Linked DNA regions of Macaca fascicularis. The protein of the gene in region 2 interacts with the protein of the main gene of each other region in a biochemical or structural test. Links are inferred from orthologs where the notes say so. Each region holds a gene or a part of one and is shown on either strand. Other genes may lie near its edges.

Region 1 (3,652 bases), on a different chromosome or scaffold from region 2:
GCATCACCGTCCTCACGCCCACTCACACCCCACCAGCGGGCACCGCTCCTCGTATCTGCACGCAGCCACCCATACTCGCACCGCCACTCCTCGTACCTCACCACCATGCACGCTCAACTGCTTATGAAAACAACGCTCATCTCAATTATCGGCTTCCTCAGGTGAAAATATTTCTCAGAACACATTTCTCAAGACGCTTCCTTTCCTCATCCAAGCTGGCTTAGGGGAAAGTATAAGAAAGTGTTAATACTTATATTTATTCATTAGAATCGTACTTTATTTGCACCTAGCAAATACAAAAATGCTGGATCAAAACACAGACAAGCAAAGACTGTATCATGATTTCTTATGCATCAAAGGGGGAAACTGCCTAAGTGTTTTTTCATTTGTATTGGTAAACGTTCTCTTCCTTTCAAATGGCTTCTGGATGACAAAACGCAGGGCTCCTGGATAGGATCCCCGACCTAGAGGAGGGGTTGTTAGACGCAGCAGACAGCATGCAGACGCCGAGCGACGGCCTCACACACGGGGAGGGAAAGTCACCTGGGCTCGGCGCCTTTCCAGCTCCTGGCCCCCGGCGGCACATTCCTCCGGCAAGCACAGTAAAGGCCCCCTCTGCATGGCACAGACAGGAGGGGCCCTGCACATCTGCACATCCCCTTCCCACACAGGGTTACCACAGGCCTCTCAGCAGCAGCGGAGATAACCGAAGAACCAAGGCAGACCCCTTCTCAGTTCTCTAGCAGTTAGGGTGCATTTTGCTGCGTACAGAGGGACCAGCCCGGCACACTCGGGGCCCAAGGCATGCTCACCGGCGTCTGGCTGTTTGAGTGGTCAAGGGACCTCACCTCCTTGTAGCAGAGGGCAGCGGAGGGCCGGAGGGGAGGCGCGGGCCGCAGGCAGCTCAGGCTCCAGGGCTTGGGTGTTTTCGGAGGCTCCAGGGGTCCCCAGTTGATGGTGGTGTGCGGGGTGCCGTGGTGGGAGGGGTGGGGGAGCGTGTGGTAGGCGGGCGTCAGCGGCGCGGGCTTGCTGTCTGCGTGCTTGCTGGACGGAGTGACCGGGTGGGAGGGCAGCTGCCGAGGGCACAGAGCGGGAAGGGCAGAGAACGTGAGACTTGCATGCTCACCGTGAAAGGGCACTATCACGCACTTCCTTCCGCTCTTTAAACACTCCATGTGAAATAAACCCCAGGATTTATCATTTATCATTTCGTTCGAATCTCTGGCTCTCAGTAGTTTTTGGGGCCAAGCACCAGCTCGCGCCACCTGGGCTGAGCATGGGACCCCCCCACGGTGTCTGCCCCAGACGGGAGGGGCAGCTCTAGCTGGCGCCCCAGCACTCGGACATCCACTAGCCACATTTATTAGCTACGGAGTAACATTAACAGAAAAAAAGGTACTTTATCTAGTAAAAAGATGAGAATTTCACAAAAGCACACAGGGCATGTGGCTGTAAGAAGGAAGGTGATTCCCCCCGGTCACGTATTATTCTTCACCTGGTGATGAAGTACTGGGTGAAACTAAGGCCCAATCGCCTAGTTTTGTTTTTTAAAAAAGTTTTCCTGGCACACAAGCAGGCCCGTGCCTGTCTAAAGCTGCTGCTGTGTTACAAGGGCAGAGTACAGCTGCAAGAGGCCTGAGCCTGTAAAGCAGAGAATGTTTACCATCTGGCTCTTTCTAGAACACTGCCAAACCCTGGTATAAAATCAGTTATTTTCTTAGAAAACTCAACTTTAATCAAAACAAAGTTAATTGAAAATTAACTTCTTAGAGGAGGTATGTCATTAATGAATTTTATATTCCTGGGAAACCCGAAATATCCCATCACAATGACAGTTAAATGAGAAAAGTTAAGTAAGTCTCAAAATCAGCCAACAATGACTTCAAATTAGCCAACAATAGTAAGGCGCGTTTAATGGGAGAACAAGCTGTGTGGCGCTGTGAACTGGAAACCTGAGTGGGGTCGGCATTCTGAAGTACACGACCTTCAAAACAGGCTGAGAGGGAAGGCCCCACAGCAGCTAATGCCACAATTTCAAGAACAGACGCCATCAACTTTCTGCAATGATCACATTCTAGTCCCTGCATGGGGGAGGGAATCGTGTGAGATACAGGTCATGCTATGAAGCCACCGTAACGTCATCTTTTCATAGGAAATAATGTATAGATGGAGAAAATTATGTAAGACATCCCTCCTAGCAACAACGTCAGAGTTAAGTAGTGTCTGGTTTTGTTTCTCCTTTCTTGAGAAAGTCAAAGGAAGTATGCTTTATGCTAAAATTAGAATATGACTTCAGTTGGACAGAGTTAGATCACAGGAGAATACATCATCCCACAAAAGAAACTCTGTAGGAGAACGCAGAACATTTTAAACATGAGGCACAGTGCCTTCCCCGCCACCAGTGAAAGAAACACTAAGACGGAGGGTCTGGCCGCAGAGAAAAGCTGACTTGATGTAAAATTGTATGAAGTAGAGTTTCAGGCTGCTGTTGAAAATCTGAGTGAAGCAGCTCATCCACTGTTCTTTATAAACACACGTGTACACATGTCGCTGGGATAAACTGATCTCCACGAAAGAATGGAGAATTTTAAAACGGCAGAGCCATTAAAGATGAAATGCTAGCTAAAAGCCAATGAGTAGTTATCTGCACACTGCTGAGAGAAATCAGATGGACTCTGAAACTGATGAGAATATCAGAATACAGCAATCCTTCTTGATCTACAACCTTCCCATGAAGAAGAAAACATGAAAACTGAGCACACGACAGAACTGATCCTAATAACCTAGTAAGGATGTGAGGGAATCTGCAAGCTGAAAATGCCGTGTCATCGCCACTCATTCTTTAAAAGCTCTGCCCAGTTTTTCGGTATTACTTGATAAAGATGACGACTGTTAAAACAACCCGATACCAACTTCTTGAGCAAAAAACACCAGGAGAGGTTTAAACACTGCAACCGAATTCAGTGTTCATCTATTTTGAAAAGTTGTAATTCTCTAAAAATTCAAAGAGTTGCTGAGCTTTTCTAAGTAAAAGACACCTCAATTTCTTAAAATCAACAGTGTGTCATAAACTCTATTTTAATGCCTTCAACATGAATCTGGCCCTTTTCATCATCATAATCATTTATTTTCGTTTTCTTAAATGAAGCATAATAAACAGTTAAAATTCTCAGAAAAATCATCTATAGTTTAGTGTAAAACTCCCCTAAATTAGTCTTCTAAGGCCACGCTGAGCAAAAGCAGCTTCCCACCCAAGCACCTCTGAATTGTGCGTGAGGAGGCACAATTCAGGGTTGTTTCTCGAGAACACTCATTGGAAAACAATTCACTACTGCACAAAGAGGGCCAAATATTTTCAGAGAAATATCAAGCAAGCGTTTGCATTTTTATCCCAATATTGATCAGGTTTTAAAGCACGTGATCACTTGCTGACAGCTCAGCCACGGGATGCCACGCCTGGAGTCTGGAAGGAGAAGAAGCGCCAGGTCCTTACGGTATGAGACGGCACCGAATGAGGCTTTATGGTGGGGTTTCCCACAGATGTGACCTTCGTTTGCTTCTGTAGGTGGTCCACCCATTCCTGCAGATCCTGCTGGTTGTTGCATGACACTAATATCCGCTCGATCATGCTCCCTAGAGGAGAGAAGGAAAA
Region 2 (3,652 bases):
GGTTCAAGCGATTCTCCTGCCTCAGCCTCTCTAGTAGCTGGGATTAGAGTCACATGCCACCACGCTTACTAAAAAAAACTAAAAATTTTTGTGTTTTTAGTAGAGACAAGGTTTCACCATTTACATGGGATTATTTTTTAATGGTTAGTGGTCTTGCTCAGATGTCACCTCCGTGGGGCATCTTCTCAAATGTAAGACCACTTTTCAAACTATTAAGCTTGTGTAGTGCAAAGCAAACAGATTTTGAACTGGGGCCCATTCAAACTTTCACAAGATAATTAATTACATGCACCTGTAAACATCACACAAAAAAATCTCGCTGCTTCAATTTCCTCAACTGGGCAGAGGTCATACCTGTCCTAGGTACGACGACCATTAGGATCATTGTGAGATTCAGCTGAGATGACACACTGACCATACACAAGCTTCAGGGTCATTTTGGATGCTCCTCTTTCCAGACCCAACTTAAATGTCACAGGAACAGAAAGGCTTCCCTGACTCCACAGTCTGAATCAGATTCCCCTGAGGTACCACAGAGCATCCTGAAACTTTTCCACAGAAGGTACCACAATATAAAATTACATTTATTTGTGCCATCATTACTTAATGTTTGTCTGTCCTCTGAACTTAATCACAAGTTCCTTAAGGACAGAGACCAAGTTTGCTTTGCTTACTAGTGAGTGAGTGAATCACTCTATCTCCAGTTTCAGGATCATAGTTAGAATGTGGCCAATATTCATGAGAGTAGGAGGAAGGGAGGGAGGGATAAATGAGGAAAATACTATCCAAATTAAGATGGCTTTGATCATTATTAGTTTCTGAAAGCTCTGACAAATTAAAATACCATTAATAAGCAGTCAAGCCATATTCTGCTATTAAATAGAATTAAAAATTATTTTACTGAGTCAGGTATAGAATAATCACATGGGTGGCAAGAAGTGAGTATTCTCTATGAAGGAAGATAAAATATGGGGAATTCCTGTTTATTATCATAAAAGTATTTTGTTCCTTAATATTAAAATGTTCATTTAGGATACAAATGAACATAATTTCCTCTATTATTTCATAAGCTAAGAGAATGCAGGGGATTCTACAACTTTTAATAAAAGTGATGATAATAATTTGCATTATTGTAATGTCTTGCAAAGCACAAGGGCTGATTGAATATATATTAACTTCACTAAATTGAAAACTATTAAATGATTAATTTTGTTTCTAACAACAGCAATAAGAGTAATCATATTTATCATACAAAAAATTGCTGAAGAAACTTCAGTATGAAAAACAGTATTTCAGTATAAGGATGCCTTACCCAGCTCAGGCAGTCATGTTTAGTTGAAGACTAAAAGGAACCACAGTGCACTACACAGTAGGCCAAGTAACTATCATTTTAACCTCTGACAATAAAAATGTGATAACTTTGTTTAAATTATAGACTATTTTTAGAGCAGCTTTAGATACACAGAAAAATTGAGCAGACAGTCCAAAGACTTTCAATATATCCCTTCTCTCACCACCACTACCCCACATATATTTTCCCCTGTTATTAACAATTTGCATTAGTTTGGCACAGTTGTTCCAATCGATGAGCCAATATTTGACACTTCATTATCACTCAAAGTCCATAGTTTACATCAGGGTTCATTCTTTGTACTGTACATTCTATGGGTTTTGACAAGTGTACAATGGCACGTATCCCCCACTGTAGTATACAAAACAGTTTCACTGCCCTAAAAATCCTCTGTGCTTTACCTATTCATCTCTCCCTCCCCTAACCCCTGACAACCATTGATCTTTTTAATGTCCTCATAATTGTGTCTCTTCCAGAATGTCTTATAGTTGGGAACGAATAGTATGTAGCCTTTTCAGATTGCCTTCTTTCACTTAGCAATATGCATTTACATTTCTTTCATTTATTTTCATAGTTTGATAGCATTTTCTTTTATTGCCAACCTGCTAACTTTATTTTTTAAATCCAGCATAATATTTAAACTGAAATGCCACCTTTCAATCCCCACCTAAAGGGTCCATATGTGACTCATCTTGTACAACTTAGAGGGCCTGGTAAGGAGGAGACCCACACAGAACACTTACCAAGAAAATTCATTCTGGCACTGAAACTCTCCACTTTAGGACAAGCCTCAAGAAAGTTCTCTGATAGGGATGAAATGTGGTTTTTACTAAGGTTTAAAATCTTCAGTTCCTTCAGTCTCAAGGGGGAGCATATCCCTGATATTTTATTTCTAGTCACAAGAGACAAGATAATGATTAAACTGCGTAAATTCATTCATATGCTTTAAAGAAAAAATACCAAGAACAATTTGCTTTCGAAGAATAGCATCGAAGAGGACTCATTAATTTAAAAATTAGTTGTGAAAATGTAAGTCATTGATAAAAGTTGTAATATTCATTGTCTCAGTTTTTTATTATATATAATAATACTTATACATTATAATAAATATATATTATATATATATATTTTTTTTTTGAGACAGAGTCTCGCCTCTGTCACCCAGGCTGGAGTGCAATGGCGCGATCTCGGCTCACTGCGACCTCCGCCTCTTGGGTTCAAGCGATTCTCATGCCTCAGCCTCTGAGTAGGTGGGATTACAGGCGCGCACCACCAACCCCGGATAATTTTTGTATTTTTAGTAGAGATGGAGTTTCACCATGTTGTCAAAACTCATGACTACACAAATGTCAGCGTATTTTGTTAACATCAGCATATTTAGGCAGTCCTTTTACTTTTAATGAGCTCTTTCTTACCCTTCTAAAATGAGCTGCTCCAGTTTCTCTATCACATCAGCAAGGTTCTCAGGAACAGAAGACAGCTGGTTATATGACAGGTTAAACTGTTTCAGAGTTGGACATTTCACTGCAGGATCTAAAACCACTGAGGGTCCAATGTCATTTCGAGAGACATCAAGGTTAGCAACACAACTCATTTTCAACAAGTAAGAAGGAAATGATGTAAATTTATTACTGTGCAAGTCCAAATGCGTCAAACTCTTCAGAGTCTGAAAAGACAAGAGTTTAAAATTCTAAAGTGGACCATCTGAGGAACTTAAGTCTAGCTAATATTTCTGCCTTACACACCTCTGGTAACTAGAACCATCAAGAATTTTCAAAAAGTTGAAAACACAATCCACAACAGAATTTCAGTATACTGATTAGCCCAATCACCTCTGCTTATAGCATGGGTAAAACCAGCAAAATTACAACGGTAGACTGTAAAAAGCAGGTTCATGAAAATAGAGTTGAAAGCTTCCTTCAGCTTTTTTGTAAATTATTTCCAGAAAGAGCAAAATGGAAGCAGAATAGGCCTCAACAAATATTTGAATTAATGATTTAAGAAAAAGCACAACATAATCCTGGGAATATGTTTTAAATGCTGTCAGAAATTGTTACATATTTTGATATATATAAGATTTAACCATAAAAATAGTTACATACAATATGTGTTTCATTTTAGAACCTCCTCTTTTTTATGAAACTTTTTGTTTCAAATTTCTACTTTCCATTTTTAAGCAGTTTATAATTTTACAATGATAACAGCAAACCCCTACTTACATATTACATCGACTTTTTACAACTTTGTTATGTAATACTCTTAAAGAGCTCAACTGCCAAAAACAATCACTTCTCTATGTTC

The links.
Region 1: of the proteins of LRRK2 (region 2) and ARHGEF7, one has a biochemical effect on the other in vitro, tested with the Homo sapiens proteins (2 studies listed by BioGRID and IntAct). The link is inferred for Macaca fascicularis from reciprocal best matches to the Homo sapiens genes LRRK2 and ARHGEF7.

The regions. Positions count from the first base shown.
Region 1 is NC_088391.1:101,803,427-101,807,078, reverse strand, and holds part of ARHGEF7 (rho guanine nucleotide exchange factor 7), read right to left. Parts: intron 3,634-3,652; coding exon 3,494-3,633; intron 1,074-3,493; coding exon 849-1,073; intron 220-848; exon of another isoform or gene 97-219; intron 1-96. UniProt on the Homo sapiens protein: Acts as a RAC1 guanine nucleotide exchange factor (GEF) and can induce membrane ruffling. Functions in cell migration, attachment and cell spreading. Promotes targeting of RAC1 to focal adhesions. May function as a positive regulator of apoptosis.
Region 2 is NC_088385.1:46,779,723-46,783,374, reverse strand, and holds part of LRRK2 (leucine-rich repeat serine/threonine-protein kinase 2), read right to left. Parts: intron 3,018-3,652; coding exon 2,767-3,017; intron 2,244-2,766; coding exon 2,095-2,243; intron 1-2,094. UniProt on the Homo sapiens protein: Serine/threonine-protein kinase which phosphorylates a broad range of proteins involved in multiple processes such as neuronal plasticity, innate immunity, autophagy, and vesicle trafficking.